Linked DNA regions of Neodiprion lecontei. The protein of the gene in region 2 binds, or shares a complex with, the protein of the main gene of each other region. Links are inferred from orthologs where the notes say so. Each region holds a gene or a part of one and is shown on either strand. Other genes may lie near its edges.

Region 1 (6,737 bases), on a different chromosome or scaffold from region 2:
TGACGTTTGCGATTACGCTGTTGGGCTGTCTAGGACTCTGCCAGGAAGTCTCCTACCTTCCGAAAGGAAAGATCATGTGCTACTGGAAAAATGGAATCCACTAGGCGTAGTCGGAGTTATCTCTGCATTCAACTTTCCCGTTGCAGTAATCCTAAATAAAATAAAACTTTTCATATCCAGAAATCCAAAACATCTGAAAATACAAAGAATTTTAATTCAATCTTACCCCTGCTAAAGGTTTACGGATGGAACAGCGCCATAGCCATGGTTTGCGGAGACACGCTGGTCTGGAAAGGAGCCCCGACTACGCCCTTGGTTTCAATTGCGACAACGAAAATTGTCGCCAAGGTCCTCGAACGTAACGGGATCCCTGGCTCAGTTGCATCGCTCATAACTGGTGGGACAGATGTTGGGGAACTGCTAGTCAATGACAATCGGTAACTGAAATATCTCTGTAATGAGTTCATCGATACTGCATACTACAAAGAAACAATCTGTTATTCTAGTGTACCGTTGATATCGTTCACGGGAAGTACGAAGGCTGGAAAAAATGTCGCTTTAAAAGTTCAAGAGAGATTTGGCAAATCGCTTCTAGAATTAGGTGGCAACAATGCACTGATTGGTAATTAAAATAACAAGTTACACATATTTCTGTAGAGGCAGAAAATGTCCGGTTTAGAATCATAGTCGATAGATTGTTGGTTTTTTAAAATTTAATAAATTTACAATTCACATTGAAATTTCAGTCACCAAGGACGCAGATTTAGATATGGCAATTCGAGCGGCTGTATTTTCCTGCGTTGGCACAGCAGGACAAAGATGCACAACTACTAGGAGGCTGATTTTGCAAACCGACATTAGGACAGAATTCTTGAGTACACAGTTTTGATCTACTACCAACTCGTAGAAAGATCTCAATAAATAGTACTTGTTTCCAATCTTTCGTTAATTTTAGAGAGGCTCAAAATGGCATTCGCAGGCATTCTTGGTAGGATTGGAGATCCTATTGAAGAGAGTACCCTCTACGGACCTTTGCATAGTCCTGCAGCGGTAGAGGCCTACAAGGTGAGACGATTAAGTACAAAATAAGCTTAATTGTTAAGCATACCAAAATCAAAATACTGCTTGTTACAGCTGACTGTCGAAAAAGCAGTAAAGTCTGGAGGGTGCATAGAATTTGGTGGAAAAGTGATTGACCGGCCTGGTTTCTATGTTGAACCAACTATAATATCTGGCTTACCCGCTAGTTCAGATGTTGTTAGACATGAGACGTTTGCCCCGATTGTTTACATCCTTGAGACGAATTCATTGGAGGAAGCGATAGCCGTAAACAACGACGTGGAACAGGGACTGAGCAGTTCCCTCTTCACTAACAACATTGGAGAATTATTTAAGGTATTAAGGTTTACAGTGCTTCATTGAAATCTGATTTTGGAAAAAACAAACGGTATTAATTGTGAATCACCAATTTTTATTTTCCACAGTGGATTGGGCCCCTTGGTTCTGATTGTGGGATAATAAACGTAAATATCGGGACTAGCGGTGCAGAAATTGGAGGAGCATTCGGTGGAGAAAAGGCAACTGGCGGAGGACGAGAGAGTGGGAGTGATGCGTGGAAGCACTATGCCAGACGGGCAACAATAACGATCAACTACGGGAATGAATTACCCTTGGCTCAAGGGATCAAATTCGAGTGAACTATGAAAAAATCAAACCATAATTTATGCGAGTAGGAATAACAACGAAACATAACAAAAGAACCACAACACTATTTCTGTACAAATTTATTAAATCTTCCATTATACTTACACATAGAAATTGATTAGTGATGATGAATGCTTTTTCATGTTGTTTACCTAATCTAATTCAAGTCTTATGAAATCAACTTGGACATCCACGGAAGTATTTTTGTGAAACTTGTACGCTCGAGGAAGATCGTATCGCAATTCAGCGACAACTTTTGCCGTTGTTCCAAGGCGTTTTGCAGTCCTAAGCACATGATCGCGGGTGCTAGTCTTGTGGAGAGAGTAGACAGCATGTCGTGCAATACTGACTGCAGTCTCCAAAAACTTCATGTCTGTTCCAGCATTGCGTTTTGTGCCAAAAGGCGGATTCATCACAACTGTATCAAAGTACTTCTCAAATCTACCTAAAATCAGTGATATTTATTATTCACATAATGACCCTCGAATCATTGGACTATGAATTATTAGATCTCAACTAACCGGGCAAGTAACTAAGTAAGTCACAGTGAACTGCCTCGACATCAGTTTCTAATTCAAGGCAATTACTTCTGAGTATAGACAGTGCATCAGCATCAATTTCAAACCCGACGACATGACTGGCGCCGAGAAGTTGGGCCCCAAGTGAGAGTACCCCACATCCTGCACCCAAGTCAGCAACAGCCTTTCCTTCTATATCGTCGAAGTGTGTATATGCTGTGTGCAGGATGTGCGCCCCAATGTGAGCGCTCGTAGAATATTGTTCAAGCCAAATTTTTGGCTCTTCAAATCCATCCAATTGTTGAAGATACTCTTCCAGCTCTCTTAATCGCATGGGTGCCATTTTGGTCACAATAACCGTTCTTGAATAATACGCCTGATAGTAGTTCACTTGGTCTCAAACCGAGGGAGTACTGGCAGGATCAAGTTACCAAAGGACGAGTCCTGGGTGACAAAGAATCCAGCAGAGGCTGCATGAGCGTTGTGAAGAGCTGCGCGTTGAGAAGCACTCAATGCTATACCGTCCACCGTTGTTGCGGGATTCTGTTGATAATGTAAAATATATAAAACGTGATAGTGTTGCCATCCACGTGAATTCAAACCAGGGTGTAAAAATAATAGGTGGCAAAGAGAAAATTATCTAGGTTGATGAAAACGTAACTTTTAGCAGTTTGAAATTCATAACGTCGACGCATAGGGTACTTGGAAATAGCACAATTTTGTGACTCAAATCTTGTTATAATTGCAAAATAAACGAGACACAATGTTGTAACCAACTTGGAAAATTATGTAGTGTAGTTTACTGCTTTTGAAACGTTCGACCACTCAAGTTCAAATTTTTTCCATTATTCTGTTGCATCAATGTTACAAACCTCAATCTCATAGGTTTATTATGACTTCTATTTAGTTTATGTTACTTTATATATTTCATATATTTAAAAATTTATTATCATTTTTTGGTATTTTATGTTTTCAAATGCAACTTCTAGTCATATTTTTTATAAATATGACACGCTCATCTCATGATTAACCTAAAATTACCTTCCTCTCTTTCGGACACTGCATGCCGCCATTATTGTTTACAATGGTCTTACAGACCCGTAGCCGTTTAGTGGACAAGTACCGAATTATGCAAAAATAATCACAACCGCCGAGCCGCAACATACCTATTATTTTTCCACGATGATTCAAAAAAGACATCCTATTATTCTTACACCGTGATTCAAACTAGACATCCTGTTATTCTTACACCGTGATTTAAACTAGATATCCTATTATTCTTACACCGTGATTTAAACTAACAGAACGTAACCCAACCTCATCCGAAACTCAAGAATTTGTTTGACGGACGTACCTGAGTCGCAGCAGAAGTAGCGGGTGGTACAGCGAGCGGAGTTAAAGAAGTTCCAAGGGTAGGCGCAACGCCCTGCTTCAAAAGTAGCTGCTTCTTCAACTGTATTTCTTCCAGTATCTTTCTGTTTTGTAGCTCTGGGAGAAAACAATATACGTGGAATCGCGATAATTTTTGGGACTTTCAATTAACGAATAACCACGTATGAAGTATCTCAGCTCCTTACCTCTCGAATTTGGTTGCGAAAAAGCCATTTGGTAGGGATACCAAATTTTAGCAGCTGAACCTGCCGAACGTTTTAATCTAATATCTCACGAGTCACTACGGTCACGACCTACTCGTATCAATGCCTAGCCACAACTAATTGTGAAATCGCGGCGGCGTCACCAGAGTACTGCGAATAGGCCGCGACGATAGCGCTAATAGGCGTGCCGTGGTTGAAAGCAGTACTGAACAGGGAACCAGCTGGCAATTTCCAGGCCCTGGTGAGAGCGCGGTTAACTATCAAAGATGAGGGGATCTCTGTAACAATGTAATCACCCTCAATTATTATGTAAAAATCAAAATACAGCTACTTTGCAAAAAATGATAACAATCGAAAAATAACAACAATATGATTAGAACGTGACGAATTCGTTCGCTGAATTAGCGGTAAATTGTTAACGTAGTGACATCTCAATCATATGTAGATTATTTATACGGAGCAAAGTGTGAGACGATTAGATATGATAATTTGATAAATTAGTCGGTACGTGAAGACGAGGGTCGGTAACACTATATTGCTCATCTCTCTCCAGCGCACAAGATAGAGAAAAGACAAAATATTTTTGTAGACGCAACAGTCGGCATTGTCGGTACTGCAGAATGCACAGTGATCAATTATCCTTATAAATGTTGGTAACTCGCTATTCAATTTTTCTGACACATATATTTCCATATAGCCTGCTCTCTTTAGTGGGATATAGATACTAATTATTCAATGGTACATACATGCATACACGTCTGACATCCGTCAATTTCAGAGTGGTTTCGGTTATCTTGCCGCCGTACACAATCAGTATTTGTAATCGTGTCAGAAGAATATTCAGAATATGTAGAGCAGTGAAAAGATTACAAAGTGAAAATGAAAGTATAAACGTACATAATTATACACTGGATTTAGGACCGACAGCCACGTAACATAGTTATCAATCGTTAAAAGGTGTCGAGTGGTTGTCTCACACCCACGCTAATTCTACTTGAATCGCTTCGCCTCTATCCCGTCTCGGCGATGAATACCCCGACGATACGTTGTCTTCGCGTCGATATCCCATCAGGGTGAACCCGGAATCGACGGCCAACTGCTTAATCGGCCTACGACTCGTCCACCGTTGCCGTCGGTTACGCGCTGCGACACATCTGCGAGCAACGATCCCCTGAAAACTCCGTACGAATTATTTATACACACAAGTTTTTAGCAATTTGTAAAACCATGGGAAACGCTGACACGAAGTTAAATTTTCGCAAGGCCGTTGTTCAGCTGACATCCAAGACCCAGGTGAGGAGAATCAAAACTTTCTGACACATGGAATCTCTCGGTTTCATCAAATTCACTTACGTTAATCAAAACGTGTTACAATACCATTGATTCCAGCCCATAGACGCAGCAGACGACACATTCTGGGACCAATTTTGGTGTGAGAACGTGGTGAACGTTCAGGATATATTCACTTTGATACCCGCGCCAGAGATCAGGGTGCTCAGGGAAGAAGCCCCATCAAATTTGGCAACGCTATGCTACAAGGCGGTAGAGAAACTCGTTAAAGCAGTCGACAACAGCTGTCGAACGCAGCGTGAACATCAAATGGTCTTGAACTGCTGCCGGCTGCTAACCAGGCTTCTACCCTACATATTTGAGGATCCTGACTGGAAGGGATTCTTTTGGTCGAGTTTACCTGGCAAAGAAGACGAAGAGAGCATCCCTCTTGCTCATTCTCTACTCAACGCGATATGCGTAAGTATTGGGACATTGGTTTATGTTGAAATTTGTGTTCACATTCTGACTATGTGAATAATTAACTTGATTTCCTTACAGGATTTGCTCTTTTGTCCTGACTTTACTGTGGCTGCGAATAGAAAATCAGGACCGGTAAGTTGGGCAAAAAGAAACAAAAGCAGATTTTTAAATGTAATTTTGACAATGCTTCTGTTGCTTTCTTTAGGATAAAGCCGAAGAACTACAGTCGATAGATAGCTGCGAATACATATGGGAAGCTGGTGTAGGATTCGCACATTCTCCACCAAGATATCCATACTTGGACTCAAACCGAACTGAACTCTTGAAACTCCTGCTCACTTGCTTCAGTGAGACTATGTACAACCCTCCTACAGACCTTTCGGTAACACCCAATCGGTGGATCGCTCACCTCACCAGTACCGAGAACAGGTATCAATGGGTTAAACACGCATTCAAGATTCAAGGGATCCTAAATTCCTTATATAGTTGAACAGAAGGTGATAGGCGAATGCAATTTTGTCTTTCAGGCACGCTCTGCCCATGTTTACATCCCTTTTGAACACCGTTTGCGCTTATGACCCAGTCGGACTTGGAGTTCCTTACAACCATCTTATATTTACGGATTCCTTGGAGCCGCTAGTCGACGTCTCGCTACAGATATTGATCGTGACTCTGGACCATGACACAAGTGGTGGCCTGCCATCAGAGGAAGGGGTTCCTGGAGATAATTTGTTCATTAATTATCTGAGCAGAATTCACAGAGATGAAGGTAGCTTGAATCAACTGTAACTGATAACAATTTTTCCATCCTCAGAATGACCTGGAGAATGACCTTGTGTTCTCTTTTTTTTCAGATTTTCAGTTTGTCTTAAAAGGAATAACAAGACTTCTGAATAATCCTTTGCTTCAAACGTATTTGCCAAATTCTACCAAAAAAGTACACTTTCATCAGGAGTTGCTGGTATTTTTTTGGAAAATGTGCGACTACAACAAAAAGTTCCTTTACTACGTGTTGAAGAGCTCTGATGTGCTGGAGGTTCTTGTACCCATTCTTTATCATCTTAATGACTCGAGGGCTGATCAATGTAAGCAATATTTTAAAATTAGATGAGCCAAATGAATAAACAAAGGTGAGTAGCCTGTATAATCTGTTATACACATTGCAGCT
Region 2 (6,813 bases):
ATTCTTCCAAGTCACCCAATAGCTAAAAAGTTTTTAAATTTATTTAATAGAGTCGATGTGAAAATGTGCAGACTACCAAATAAATACTCAGATTTACAGAAATATAGTGATGAGTAAAAATAAATCAATAATATTCCAAGACGTTGTTTATTCCAATCAGATTACTTGATGTAAATCGCAATCATAAGCTAAGCGAATTATTTTTGCGTGCAATAATCAATCCAAACGCTAAAAACGTGAGAAACATTTTATAACAAATACAAAACTCTCAATATTCACGTCGAATTGTGAGGTTTGACTGCATTTGGCGCATAATGCAATGTCTTTAACTGCAATTCAAAATCAAATTTCATGGTATGTAGAATTGTTAGAATACTGTAACTGAAACATTAGAATTTTCCAATTGCAAATAATTGAAGAACATCAACTTCAATTGTCAGTTCTACATAATATTCAATCACTCACCACAAGAGTGTCCATTGCATCCACCAGTGTTAATGAGAAGCTGAAATTCAATAAACAATTACTTTAGACTTTATCGATTCTTAGAATTTTATACAACTGACGAATGATTTGAATTTTGGAATCATTGCTTGTGATAAATATCTCCAAATATTGCTTACTTGCCGAGCGTAGTATCAATATCACCTCTATCTGGCTCTGATCCTCGATATCTCCCTTTACAGCTCAATGGCATCAGCTCATCAGCCGGATATGCATTGTCCTTTAAAAAATTGCAATTTAAGAAACGCTTATTCAGCACTTTACAAATCTAAGAACCTTAGGATTTCAAATACTTACCATGTAAGCATTGTATCCATGATAAAACATGTCCCGTGCTTCTTCCCTAAAAAGAAATCACCAGTTTTGTCAAACCTATCTACATTTTAAACAAAACATTTGGCCATACGTAAATAATTTGATTCTAGATATCGTTGCAAAACCTTGCAAGATACGGGCAAAGTGTTTGCTAACTGTGAGTATAATAAGTATTGACCGTTTACAGTTAAGAAAGTTGCTTGACCTTTATATCAATAAAAAATCAACCACCAAAAAAGTGACAGTAAGGCTGGAATAACCTTGAAAAATCCAACGCTTTCAATTATTGTAATATCCTTCCAAATACAGCAAAAATATTTATTTTTTTCTGTCCAGAAATTTAATAGGCCTAGTTAATAAATAGAAAATATTTCACTGTTACCCAAAGTTTGGAATATAAATTTTCCCAGTAGTTAAAAGAAACTTCAAGTACAGTTTCCTATGTGAATAGATAACTGCTATCAATATTTTACTACTCCTCCAAAATCATGCCTTCCTCTCAGTAACGGTGAAAGAAATTTTTCGTTAAAACGCCCATAGATAAAATATTACATAAATCTGTTTGGATAGTGACACGAGTAATAATTCATGCCAAATATAAATACTCACTTTAACGCTTCTCGTTCTTCCTTGCTCATGTACTCAATGGGGTCATCCTCAGAAGCTCTTACTATCGATATGAAAGCACATCCAAAGAGTAGGATCCCACATATCGATGCAGCATGAGCCATTTTAATTGATCACTTTCTATTTTCTGTTGTCAAGATATCAACACTTTCAGAAAATGATAGGGCATAGTTTTGCGATGATTTGGATCCGAACGTAGTCAAGTTCAAACTGTAATTAATCGATATATATTACTTTCTACATTGAAGGTTTTTAACTTCATATGCAAATTTCAATTTCTTAGTACGTGTCTGTTTATCGTCATCTGAAGCCTGTTGATCTTATTATTATGATTACTATTATTATTATATACAGTAAGTATTTACCTAATTTGCTGGTTGATCCAATTCTTATTATTGTTCGTTTTATTGTTTTTGTATTTCAATTTTTACTTATCACACTTCTATTTGTTACAGATAGTTCCAAACTGGTGAAAAACTATTTTTACTTATCTCACTGATGTCTATTATTGTTTTTGGGCGGTAATATTTACTAGTACTTGTGTGTAGGAGAATGTTTTCCCTCAGTGAAGGAACTAACAATTTCTCGGAGAACAATAATAATGGTATAATGAGACAGCATAAGGTTTCAAAATAACGTTAAATATATAATTCTTGTGACGAATTACCGAGGTATTTACGTAAAAATTTACCAGTTCGTAACTTGCCAGATGGTGCAGAAGCACGATAAGAAATAAACTCAACACACCTCACAACTGATTACACATTTTTATCAAGGCCAGATGATGTGGCTGTCAGTCGAACATCAAACACTTCACAAACCCAGTTGAGAAAGTCCGTCGATTTGTAGAACGAGTATTAGGTATACGTATGTTTACTTATATTACCTTACATAGCCGAAATACATTTATACACCTTTTCGAGGTGTTTGATTTTTAACGTTCCAATTTTATTCACACTGTTCATAGAATTTAACAATAACGTTGAACCAATTTAACAGTTTGTGATCCGCAACCTAACCTTAGTGATAAAAACTAGAGTAAAGTAAATCCGCTCAAAGAATAAGAGCAATCCATTATTCACTCCCACTGTTGCGCGGATGTGGAACTCGGATTCTACAGTCTGAGTCACAAACAATCAAACTTGCATCGAAACTTGTAAGTCTTGTACAGCCTTGTCGAAAATGTGATGAAATATTTTATTTGAAAGACTACTGATATAACTTCAGATTTTAAGAACCGAGACTCTGGCAATTCATGGTTTCGCAAACGTGGTACTTTTAGGGATTTTTAAACATACATCATACTTGTTTCAAAAACCAGAGTCTCGCGGTCTTGGAAAAGCCAACTTTTACCGTTATTCATGAATAAACGCTGTCTGGTTTTGATCCACATGCAGAATGAGAATGGGACACTTTGGTTACTTAAATGACCGTCAGAGGATCTCAAAGTAAAACCTTTCGATTTTATCGACAGACGACACATGTCAAAATAACGGTGCGACCGTTTGCAGTGCATATAAATAATTTTTTCAGCGTGTTAGTTATAAGTAAGCCTGAACAAAAATGAAGCTTTTAACCCATAACATGTTGACGTCAAAATGTTTGAAAGGCGTTACAGTAGGATACCCTTTAGCGATTGTGGTAAGAAAACCGCTTCGATAATCTTGAAACGAGTGCGGTACATTTTTGAGGTTATGAAGTTCATAAGCACCACATTAACCCTCATTCCAAAACCTTCACACGGTTCATTTATTTCCAGGCCAAGGATATCAAGGTTTCAGAAGTTGATTTCAATTCCGAATTCATCGCCAGAATTATTCCCAAATTAGATTGGGCCACCCTGTGGAAAGCAGCTGAGAGCGTAGGTCACCAATTCTTTAATAAATTAAAGCAAGATTAGCTCAAAACTTGCTATTGAATAACTTCTTACATGCATAGACAACGCAACGATCTATACATTTAGACGCAGGCGATAATCACTTCCTTATCTTTAATCGTGTTGAATTGTTTATGGTGAAACAACAATACTATACATGTAACGACCAACTCTCCAGATGCAAATTTGACTTGAGAGCTTTTTTCACTGAATTATCATAGTTAAAAAATTAATAGCTTCTGGAATTAAATTAACAACTACCCAAATTTACAGATTGGTCATGTTGGTGAGCTACCACAGACACTTGTGGAAGATTTTGAAGAAAATGAAGATTTCCTTAAAAAAGTCCATCACATTTTGTTAGAAGTTGAAGTGATAAATGGCGACTTGCTGTGCCCTGAGTCAGGAAGAAAGTTTCCAATAAATGACGGGATCCCAAATATGTTACTCAATGAAGATGAAGTGTAGAAATAAGCTGTAGTCATATATATTCCTACCAAAAATCTTGACAAGATCGTACATTGATGGAATATCGATAACTTTTTCATTAAAAAATCCTTGTACATTGCCACTTTATTCAATATTACTATTAGTTTAGAAAAACAAGTCGATATTACATTTCAGCCATTTAATGATGAATAGTCTTCTCTGTCTATAGAAAATTCTATACAGAATATAGAATATGCGATTTAAAGAGATACCTATTACTATAACTAATGCCTCGGTCATTTATAGATGCATCTAAAGGAACTCGCATTTAAAAGTGTTCAAAAAAGATCAGCATTTATTTATATTTCAGTAGAATATATGTATATTCTTGCAAGAATTTTTGTTCGAACTATTTTGGCGCTATTGTCAATTTACACGTGTCTCTTATAATAATTCTACGTACTTCACGTAATTATCTTTAATTTCAGTCATTGTAAATTTTGTAGTAAATAGATGCATCATTAACGTTATTTATTTATAATCTTTTGTCTTGAATAATGATGACTGTCTTTTAGAGTTAAAACTAGTAACTTAACTACATGTTATTAGATTTCATATCTTCACATTAAGTCTTCAAAAGTAAATGGCAAAATTAATTGTTTGTAATGAAGAATCAGTAAGCATTGCAACAATATGCCAAATCAATAAAAAAGTTACAAATCACCTTCAGATAAATTAATTGTTCGATCCTATCCATCATCTTATTTTCTATAGTAAAGAGTGGTTTTTATAATTGTAAACAATATCAGGCAATTTCTAAAAGGTAAAAAATACAAATGTATCATAATTTTGTAGTAGAAGATGAGAGGATTGTGCATGTGTGATTAAATAGTTTTTTTATTGCACAGATATGTATAGGTATACAACGAAATACAATTTTCTTTGACCAGTGATAACTGTGGTACAAATGCAGATGTTTAAATGTCTGCGTTTTATTGCTACAGAATTAGTGACTTGTTTAATTATGCTTATCAATAAAATTGTAAATTATACTAGAATACAACATTTTGGTACTAGTACTTTCTTGCTTCTTATACTTGATAAACGTTTACGGTTTGTAGTTTGTCTCTTTTGGCTTTTATATTTTTTAAGGAGTATTAAATCATCTAGCTGACTGCTAAAATGTTTAAACGATCCACCGTGGATCGTCACAATGGCAACTGAGAGTAATCTTCTCACGCATTTCTTGTCTATATAAGTAAATATTTAAAAGATTATTCAGAAAAATTAAATATACGAATTAAGTAAAATGAGTAATGTTGACAAAATTCCAACTTTACAAGTCAACAAACATTTATACTTATGATACAAGACGAATTATTACAAGTTCCACACAATTTTGACATTTAGCATGCTACTGTATTTCAAATGATGTTATTATTGCACCAGTTTATAGTTGTGTATTTCAACTAACAAGATTTAAAACACAAGAGTCAATAATATTTAGAATCATATTTTTTTCCATACGATCACAATATTCTTCATATTGAATTTTAAGGAAATACAACTACATGAGACTATAAGGTATTTATATTCTAATTATTAATTCTTTAAGGAGCTTGGCGTAGGTACATAAGATGTGGGGCATTTGCAAATTAATGTGATCATCACGACCTATTCGTTTGCTGTAAATAAAATGTTTTGAAGTTTTCCAAAGTAAACTGATCCGGGTAATATGTGCATCGCTTTAAAAAAATGGAACTACGTATTACAACATTCACCCGTTGAATTATCTGAATATGTAGTGACATAATAATTTTGAATAGAGAAGGACAGTTACATCCTTGCAGACACTTATCAAGAATTATGCTAAAGTCAAGAATCATCCCACACCTTTATATACTTAGCCATATGCGATAGTACGTAAATACATAGTCAAAATATATTATTTCACCCATCTTAGTTTCGTCAAAAAAGAATAAGCTATAAAAATAGCTCTGACCTACTAACATTTCAGCCACAGCCCTCCCTTATTTATCATATTTAGTATTCACATACAAATATTGTATATTAAGTTTTCTGAAGGCAGGATTATATTTGGATCAAGATAAGAAAAATACCTCTTCATCATTTCAACTATGGCACAATTCGTTTCACACGTAGTATTACACATGTCTTTCCTCCTCATAAATAACAAGACATTTTTTTATCTATATAACAATCAGATTTATGCATGTATTGGCAAAATAGAGAATTTTCAATTCATAATTAATATTCAACATTGGATGGGAATGTATCATCTAGAATGTAAACTGCTATGCATTACATATAACTGGACGTCTTATTCTACCTATATTTTAATTCTGTAGGCAAAATTTTGTGTAACAATCAGATAAAAGTTACTAGAAGTCATACAAATGCGACCATAGCAAGTTTACAAGATTCATCCAATATTATTGGAATTAAGTGCCATTCCAATGACTTCGACTAATTTTTTTATTTCAATTAACTATTTGCAACTTAGGGAAGTATTACTGATGCAGCAAAAATGACATTGTAAAGAACACACTGTTTCTTAACGAAATTTTCATACAATTTAAAGGAGGGATTTTATTCTCACTTGATTACGAATTATAACTAATATCTTCCAACAGTCTCATTCAATAGTCTCTGCAAACCTCATTGATCTATAATTGGCAATATCGTCAAAATTATGCACACGAAAAATGTTCCGAGTGCAGATTTACAATGCCGACGATTATCTTTACAATTTTTTACCGAATATTGTAGATATGTATGCATGTACGTATATGTCTAAAAGCTGTGTTTTATATTTGTAACAAGTAGCAAGACTTGGTAAGAGGCTTGGAATATTAGAAAATATTATTATCTGACACTGGTTGGAAGATTCTATTTCTCCTCCACCCATAAATTATTTCAACTTACGCTTTGGCTCGAAACTGAGATTCACAAGTTGGGTTTCAGGCTTTAGAAATGTGCAGACGTGACAAATTCTATGCTCAAATTGCTTAAATCCATTGAATAAGTAAGTCTTTAAAAGT
Region 3 (8,188 bases), on a different chromosome or scaffold from region 2:
CGAGAAGATTCTGAACGCAAGAGTGAAGATGTGGTTGAGCTATGGGAATCCATATTAATAGAGAAGATCCATAAATTAGGAAACGAAAGTAAAAATCCTCATAATAAATATTTATTCATCTAACCCTTACCTAAAATGAAATATTACGTGAAAATTGACCTTCATATTGCGGTATTTATTATTTTATAGAATATTTAGTCTTAGAACAAGTGTGTGTGGCTGCCTTGGATTGCAATCGTTTATCAGTTGCCAAAGAATGTATTGATTTATTGGAGCAAGAATTTCCAGGCAGCCTGAGGGTGCTGAAATATCACGCAATGCACATGGAAGCCTTGGAAAAGTATTACATATAACCATTTTACATTAACTTTATAATGATGCACTGAAAATTGCCATGATTATATATATTCTATGATCTCTAATTACTTGGCACAAATAATGTGTTCATTTGCAGATACGATGAGGCCCTCAAGATTTTGGACTCCATAATCAAAAGAGATGAAACTAACGCAGCACCAAGAAAAAGAAGATTGGCAATTCTAAAGGCACAAGGTCGAATAACTGAAGCTATAAAAGAACTCACCGAGTATTTGAAAAAGTTAGTCATCCGCATCAGGAATTAGTTGTAAAACCTGTTACTCATTTGATTAAAATACTGACATTCTCTAAACAGGTTCATGAGTGACCAAGAAGCATGGCACGAATTGTGTGATTTATACCTGCAAGAGCAAGAGTATGCTAAAGCAGCTTTTTGCATGGAAGAATTAATTTTGCACAACCCTCATAGTCATTTGATTTATCAGCGATATGCAGAAATTAAGTATACCCAGGTTAGTGAATGAACGCATCTCTTCTGTAGTATTACCTAAATAGAAATGAAATATTCACTTCAAGTAAAGATTAAGTACTCTAATTTTGCTGTCCTATAAATTTAACAAATCTAATATTTTATCATCTAGGGTGGATTCGATAATATGGAATTGGCAAAAACTTATTTCGCTCAAGCAATCAAGTTGAATCCCAACAACGTACGAGCACTTTATGGGCTATTATTGGTAAGTTTTCAGAAGTGTTCTCTATATAAGCAAATTATATTAGGGCAGAAAATTTGTCGGAAATAGTAGACGATTTGAGAATAATACTATCTGCTAACTTAAATAGGTGGCAAACAACATTGCTTTATCAGCAAAGTGTCCTGCTTCAAAGAAAAAGGATGCAATAAAGCTTGGCAATTGGGCTGCAACTCAAATTCAGAAAAGGTATGCATTAAAAGCGACAGAAAAAGATGTTAAAAATGTTGTAGATGTACTAGGGCAATTACAATTAGAGTCATAGACATATATTATATGAATGTATATGTATTTGGTACGCTGATGGATGTACGGAGAGATGCTATCTACTGATGTGTTTGAAACATTGATCCATTGGAACTATGAAACCTTCCTAGTATATCACATATGCATACAGTATACATATTTATCAAGTTAAGTATACATAAGTATACACACTGCTTATTTGCATTTTATTTGAACTCCACATGGTACGTAAATATGATGTATTTCGTGTATGGCACTGTTGTAAGAAATTATCTTTCCAGTAGTTGTATTTCCTATTTGTGAAGGTTTCTAAAAGAATATGTTTATATTGTTATTTAATATTATTCATCATGAATATTAAATTTATTGAATGAAAAAATAAATAATAATACCGATTATTTACTGTCGGTCTGACAAAACATGAGTTCATAGATTTGCTTTTGACATCCATGGATGTCTACGTATGTTTTGAAACGGGATCTATACGTGAAGAGCTTTTGATGTGACGGTACATGAACAACATTTAGGCGACCTTGAGAATTGAAGTCGAATAGCACCTTTAAAAATACTGTGGTATTTTGAAAAAAGACCACGTTTGCAATTTCTACTCGCATGATGTCTTTGCTGAGAAATAATAAATGGTAAAAAAATATTTTTATTCGTGTAAAAGTGCGTTTTAAATAAAGTAAAAAGCAGGTTTGTTAAATAAACTTTTACCACTTTTACATATAAAAAAGATTTAGTCATCTTGCAGTTTTTGACTTAATATTTTTTTCCCAATTCTCTTTATTCTTTGCCCTCTGTTCTGCTCTCTTCATTCTTCTTTCTTTTCTTGTTTCATCTCCATGTCCGAAATATCTTACACGGAAGTCTAATACATTCGAATCATCAATTGGATCATCATCCTACAAAGAACAAAAACTGTCAATCTTACGCTTAGAACAAAAATATATAGGATTCTGTAAGGTTCATTTCAGACAGCGAAATGAAATCTTTCTACCAACTGTTCAAATTTGCAAATTCATGATGCTCCTATGTACCTGAGGATCTCGAATTTTCTTATAAGTGAGCAAGCGGCGACTTGTATATGTACTCAGAATCTGTTCCGAATTGGCAATTAATTGCAAACATGGATGTGAAGGAAGCTGCTCGTCTGCATAGTGTTCCCTGTAGGATCATGTATACGTTCAATTACATGACATTCAACACAGCACATTATTTTTATTACTTAAATTATTAATATGTGCAACATTTGTTGTTTATGGATTGTTTGTATTAAAATAAATAAAATTAAAACATATTTTGAAATACAGCAGACTCGGCTTAAAGGGTCTTAGTAGCAAATGGAACCTTGTTTTTTTTTTTCAGAATTATCAAAAAAATATATAGTCATCGAAAATTTCAACCATTTGATGTCTGCAGTCTGTTGTCAGTTTATCATAAGTCTCATATTTTTTACGTTCTTACCTGAACAAAGGAAACCAGCATACCAATCTGCCGTTAATACATAAATGATTCGCAGCAAATGAGAGCAGATCAACGAACATCTGAGGCAGCCCGTAGTCAATCTTAGAAGGTATATGACTAGCTACTTGATGCTGGTCGATTACAGGCTGTCTTTTTATGGTACCTACACGCTCCGTTGCTTCTCTTATTCCATATGGAGCTGTGCAAGATTTAAGATGATTTTAAAGCTGAAATTCAATTGCTAAGAAGTTTTCGGATTCATTACTATTCGCAATGTCGATCGATTTTAAACTCTTGTATTGTATGCCCATCATAATAATGTGATGCATTGAACCTACGATCTGTGATAATTGCATCGACTCTCATGTCTGAACGCCAGACAGGTAAAGAGAAATCTGTCACTAAGACATCGATGTAATATGAACTTGTTCCATATTGCTTCATATTCGATGCTATACTTTCGTCTTTCCCTCTGGTCTAAAAAACAGAGAGAGTTAAAGGCATTCAAGCTCTTGCATTGGCATGACCGTAACATGGTTTTAGGACCATCGTTGTTTCCGGTTAATAACAATATTGAGCAATAAGGAAAGAATAAAAGAAAACTACTTTAATGAAAGTAACGAAGATGTGTACCTTCTGTGATATCCGAGAGGGCCTTGTGCGTGCATGAAGCATTAGATAATCTATGTCTGTACCGAGAGTGTACCCTCCAAATTGAGATGCTGCAACAAGTAGCGACCCGGAACCAACAAACGGATCGAGAATTAAATCTCCATTTTTTACTTGCGCTTGATTGGCCATTATCAAAGATAATTGAGGATCCATTGAAGTATTTCCTATGAAATTTCGCGTTTTGAGAGATAGTTTACGTATTAATTGTCTCTGGCCATCAGCCACCTGAAAAAATAACGTGAAATGATCAAGATTCACGATTATTGTGATTTCGTGACAATTTTAAAACGATGTTCAAAATTTATTTGATCATAAAATCCACGCAAAACGATAATTCATAATTCTTACCAGTCTTCCGAAAAAAAGGTGATAAGGTTTGTCAGGTATTGTATTAGGATCTAGTCCGTAATACTCTATATACATCAATGCTGTATCTGGATTTCGCAAATTTACAGGACCCTCTATTGGCAGATAACTAAAGGACTGTAATTAATTCACAGAATCAGATAGTAAAGATCACCTTGTTTTTTCAAATATACAAGATAGTACATTACCTCTATTTTCTTAATTTTCTCATCTTGTGAAAAATGCTTACAAAATGTTTCAACAATAACTTTGAAGGATTTTTCATTATTAAGATGTAGTCTCATGTTTCCTTGCGGGTACTCCTTCAAACTCCTGTGCAAATCTTCATGGCTGCCCCCATCACCCCACAATTCAATGCAGGAACGAAGCGATATGGATCTGCTAGCAATTTTTTTTACAGCATCTTCTGAATCTGACTCGATTATCCAATATGGCTAAATTTAAATACATTTTTTTTCAATGAATTAAAAGGTACAGATACAAAGTAAACATTATGTATCAAGAAATAATCCAAGAAAATATTAATGAAGGGGTAAACTTTATAGAAAAGTTAGCAATGATAGAAATGTTGCGCCAGTGAGCAAAAAGATTTGAGAAAATGTAAAAAATTTCATCATTTCAATCCAATTTTGCTAATACTCCCAGGAAAATTGTGGTTTGAGCAAAGCTATTACTGAAGATTGGTTCATTAATGTAACATCTACTTATTGATAACAACAGTGGTGAACATTCGATTATGTTCACCAGATGTGGAATAATAACATAACCTAAAAATTGTAGGAACTGTAGCAGTGATAAGTCGGTGAGTAGTCGAAAAATTATTTATTTACTTACATACTCGTCAGGCCTCAGAATTGTCGTGACTTTAATATCGTACATCTCACAAATAGATTCGATTTCCTGTTACAAATTCGAGGTTTTATAACATTAACCTCAAAAATGACAATTTAATTCAACCATTATCTAGTGGAAGTTTGCAAATTTGAAAAATTCCATACCGCTATCCTGAAATCGACGTGCTCGTGCGCGAACCATAATAAATATTTTTTTGGAATTCCAATCATTTTTCGTTCAATTGATATCCTTGAATATGTTCATGGGGTAAACGACTACAAAACAAGCACAAGCCAAGCACAACTTTAAATCCCGTCAGCTGTCCAACCTGACACCCATGCCACCAATGTGTGGTGTGTGGACCACACTTGCGCAGAGTGCACACTTCACAGATTGCCAAATTTGAGGTTACGAAGCACGTCGGCAACGTGCGTACAAGATTTTGTTTACGAAACTTTATTCTCGAAAAATTTTTCTAAGATGGGACGTTCGAAAAAGGTGAGCGATAGTTGTTCCTCCCAAATGAATGAAATAACATTCCTAGTAAACGTAAATATAGACATAATTAATATCTAGTGCTCTCTTCATAACCTCAATAAAAGTATCTGTAAAATTCTGCCCATACAGACCAATAAATTTATACTAAAAATCGGTTCGTCACACATCAAACATAGATACCTATCCAAATATAACTCACGATTTATACTGTATTTAGGGCCGCTGCGTAAAGCGGAACAAACAAATAAACAGCGAAGAGCCTGTGGATTTGGTGCGCGCTCCTCATTCTTTTGTTATACAACGTGGACTTCCAGGAGGACATATCTTGGAGTTAACTAAGGATTTTCGAAGAGTTATGGAACCATACACAGCATCATCATTAAAAGCTCGGAAACGAAACACGATTAAAGATTTCGTTTCGGTTTCTGGTGCTCTCCACGTTTCTCATATGTGCATTTTTACACGAACAGAACTGGGAATGTACCTGAAACTTTGTAGGTAATACGAGTATTACAAAATCTTGCTTGCATCTGAAAATTTCATATCTACAGTCACATTTTGACTTCTTAAACTGTCCATAAGTGATTACCACTTAGGATTTCATTAATTCCTGTACTTAAAATTATAGAATACCAAGAGGGCCCACACTATCTTTTAAAATAACCAGTTTCTCACTAGCGAGAGATGTAGTTTCAACGATAAAGAAGCAAATGGTCTTTGAAGAAGCTTTCAAACACTCTCCATTGATGGTATTGAATAATTTCAGCGGAGAAGGCATGCAAATGAAACTCATGACATCGATGTTTCAAAACATGTTTCCAACAATTAATCTTACCACTGTAAGTATTTTCAACCTGGAATACCTTTTTATTTCATAGGAATATAGAGCTCTGGCATGGAATTTTTAACGGATTTTGGGGATTGTTTTCTAGGTAAACCTCAGCACAATTCGTCGTTGTGTTTGTCTTAACTACAACAGTGTGACAAAGCTAATAGACTTCAGGCATTACGCTATAAAAATGGTACCAGTTGGACTATCAAAAGGAGTTAAGAAAATAGTACAAGCTAAAGTGCCCAATCTCTCTAAATGTCAAGACTTTTCAGAATTCCTTACAAAACCCACATTCTCTGAAAGCGAAGCAGAAGAGGATCCCTCGAGTCATGTTACCCTGCCCCAGAAATTATCGTCCAGAGGTAATCACAAAAGTGGCACGAGCGCAATTAGACTCATCGAACTAGGGCCTCGAATAACAATGCAGGTAAAAATATATTCCAGTTTTCTCATAAATATTTCATGTACTTGGGATAAAGGCAAAGAATAAATATTTTGTAACCCTGTTTCAGCTGATAAAAGTTGAAGATGGATTATTGGATGGACAAGTTATGTACCATGAATTTGTGCATAAAACCGAGGAAGAAATACTCAAAATACAAAAGAGCCGTGAGGTTAAAAAGAAGCTTAAAGAAAATCGGAAAAAGGTACAGGAAGAAAATAAAAAGAAAAAGGAAGCAATGAAGGAAGAGGAGAAACAGAAAAGTCTTAAGGGTATGAAAAAACAAAGATCGGAAAGTGACGTGCTTATGCACAAAGCTGCAAAAGAGTCCTACGAAGACAATCAGGTCGAGGAAGACGACGATGCACAGTATTATAGAGAGGAAGTTGGCCAAGAACCTGATAAAGGTAATGGCGTAGTGCAAACAAAACTCATATCATTAAATTAATCTCTGTACAATAATGTTAATAGGTGCTCTTTCATTTGTATTCCAGATTTGTTTTCGGGGCGACCAAAAACTGGTGACAAGCGACCAAATTCATATCCAGTTAAATACAAGACAAAGAAATCGAGGCTCGACAAAAACGTTAAAAACGGTGACAAAAAGAATAAACAGTTTGGTAATAAAAACAGATATGATGATGAAAAGTATAGTTACAGACAAAAAAAGAAATTTGGCGTTAAAGACGGTGGTACAAAATCACAGGGTAATAAAAAGTTTTTCAAAGGAAAAGGATCTGCGCATGGCAGTAAAATTAAAAGGAGACGGAACTAGAGAAATATCAACGTAATGACAATTGTAATGAAAACTCAATAAATTTATTTCATCATTATAATTTATAATAATATAATCTCAGTTATTTTCTTATGCCAATTCTTGTGATTTCAGAAAGGTAATGAGGCGGTACGTAAAGTATAAAATTCTATGGAGACTTTTTATTATAAAACAGAGATGTTTTCACAACTTACGAAATAAATTTTCATTTTGATGGACTTCAAATAGAAGCAAATTCGGGACTATTTGAAGCTAAAAAATAATAATACCGAATGAATTTTGAAAAAATTTTGAATTGTCATAAACTTCCATCTAACTTTATAACGTGTAAAAAAAAAATTAGTAATCCTCGGTGCTATTACATTTTTTTTTAACAAAATATGACTCCAGTACGTGTAATTAAAATATAATTTTTTTGTACTATTATATTTTTCACCAAATACATGAAGTCAATGTACAATAAGTATAAAAGCTTACAGACAAAAGTGAATCTAGTAAAGTTTTTGTACAATACATTCTTGGATTGTTTAATACTTGGATGAAATTGACACATAATGATCGCTTCACATTCCTTTTTGGACTAGTCTTGTATTTCAAATACCGCAATGCCAAATCACGTAGTCTTTGCCGATAGTATACTTTGTACAGCAATGAAGTCACGAAATACAAACAAATACAAAGCAGTACTTAAAGGAAATAATTTTTTTAGAGACCTTATTATACAATTGAAGATACTTCTAAGGTCTCTTTGGTTGAAACGAAGATATAAATATTATTTCATTTTTAAAGCTATTGTACTTAAATCTAAAAATGCATCATATAATTTTATGTATAGGACATTACAAAAATAATGAGTTTTTAATTTACTTTAGTCAACACTTTTCATTCACGTTTGTAATAATAAAAATTGATACCTCTTCATCACAATTTGCTTGCTGGTCAACCGATAAACAATATAAATAAGAGAATATAATCTATGGGTAGTG

What was found.
Region 1: the proteins of multifunctional methyltransferase subunit TRM112-like protein (region 2) and rRNA N6-adenosine-methyltransferase METTL5 are in contact, whole or in part, in a crystal structure (PDB 6H2V), measured with the Homo sapiens proteins. The link is inferred for Neodiprion lecontei from reciprocal best matches to the Homo sapiens genes TRMT112 and METTL5. Residues at the interface, in NP_001359000.1 of Homo sapiens: Met1, Lys2, Leu4, Thr5, Leu8, Leu9, Ser10, Ser11, His12, Phe21, Pro22, Leu23, Pro34, Val35, Asn38, Asn40, Phe41, Arg44, Met45, Lys48, Glu92, Arg111, Gly112, Ile113, Pro114, Asn115, Met116, Leu117; in NP_001280115.1 of Homo sapiens: Asn52, Lys53, Val54, Gly75, Leu76, Val78, Ile82, Leu87, Asn91, Thr100, Ile102, Asp103, Met104, Val105, Gln106, Cys107, Asp108, Asn114, Arg115, Met116, Ser119, Phe120, Asp121, Arg150.
Region 3: multifunctional methyltransferase subunit TRM112-like protein (region 2) and tRNA (guanine(10)-N2)-methyltransferase homolog share a complex: the UniProt entries of both Homo sapiens proteins name them as parts of the heterodimeric TRMT11-TRM112 methyltransferase complex. The link is inferred for Neodiprion lecontei from reciprocal best matches to the Homo sapiens genes TRMT112 and TRMT11.

What each region holds. Positions count from the first base shown.
Region 1 is NC_060264.1:2,798,791-2,805,527, reverse strand, and holds rRNA N6-adenosine-methyltransferase METTL5, read right to left. Parts: upstream 3,345-6,737; 5' UTR 3,264-3,344; intron 2,766-3,263; coding exon of another isoform or gene 2,610-2,765; 5' UTR 2,566-2,609; coding exon 2,226-2,565; intron 2,150-2,225; coding exon 1,857-2,149; 3' UTR 1,770-1,856; downstream 1-1,769. Other genes in the region: alpha-aminoadipic semialdehyde dehydrogenase, read left to right, coding at 1-145, 238-437, 507-622, 747-875, 956-1,065, 1,135-1,395, 1,485-1,697; protein HID1, read left to right, coding at 5,045-5,110, 5,207-5,566, 5,648-5,701, 5,775-5,998, 6,097-6,338, 6,424-6,654, 6,736-6,737. UniProt on the Homo sapiens protein: Catalytic subunit of a heterodimer with TRMT112, which specifically methylates the 6th position of adenine in position 1832 of 18S rRNA.
Region 2 is NC_060261.1:39,651,740-39,658,552, reverse strand, and holds multifunctional methyltransferase subunit TRM112-like protein, read left to right. Parts: upstream 1-2,854; 5' UTR 2,855-3,009; coding exon 3,010-3,087; intron 3,088-3,205; coding exon 3,206-3,307; intron 3,308-3,595; coding exon 3,596-3,790; 3' UTR 3,791-4,474; downstream 4,475-6,813. Other genes in the region: ER degradation-enhancing alpha-mannosidase-like protein 3, read right to left, coding at 1-22, 466-505, 624-724, 802-847, 1,429-1,550. UniProt on the Homo sapiens protein: Acts as an activator of both rRNA/tRNA and protein methyltransferases. Together with methyltransferase BUD23, methylates the N(7) position of a guanine in 18S rRNA.
Region 3 is NC_060260.1:5,293,528-5,301,715, reverse strand, and holds tRNA (guanine(10)-N2)-methyltransferase homolog, read right to left. Parts: upstream 4,997-8,188; 5' UTR 4,886-4,996; coding exon 4,820-4,885; intron 4,722-4,819; coding exon 4,656-4,721; intron 4,256-4,655; coding exon 4,010-4,255; intron 3,939-4,009; coding exon 3,804-3,938; intron 3,681-3,803; coding exon 3,417-3,680; intron 3,261-3,416; coding exon 3,122-3,260; intron 2,983-3,121; coding exon 2,784-2,982; intron 2,629-2,783; exon of another isoform or gene 2,484-2,628; coding exon 2,357-2,483; exon of another isoform or gene 2,222-2,356; coding exon 2,060-2,221; 3' UTR 1,770-2,059; downstream 1-1,769. Other genes in the region: ER membrane protein complex subunit 2-A, read left to right, coding at 1-88, 190-340, 455-598, 674-830, 960-1,055, 1,162-1,335; protein Peter pan, read left to right, coding at 5,136-5,153, 5,371-5,651, 5,782-5,992, 6,086-6,412, 6,498-6,834, 6,922-7,202; centromere-associated protein E, read right to left, coding at 8,177-8,188. UniProt on the Homo sapiens protein: Catalytic subunit of the TRMT11-TRM112 methyltransferase complex, that specifically mediates the S-adenosyl-L-methionine-dependent N(2)-methylation of guanosine nucleotide at position 10 (m2G10) in tRNAs.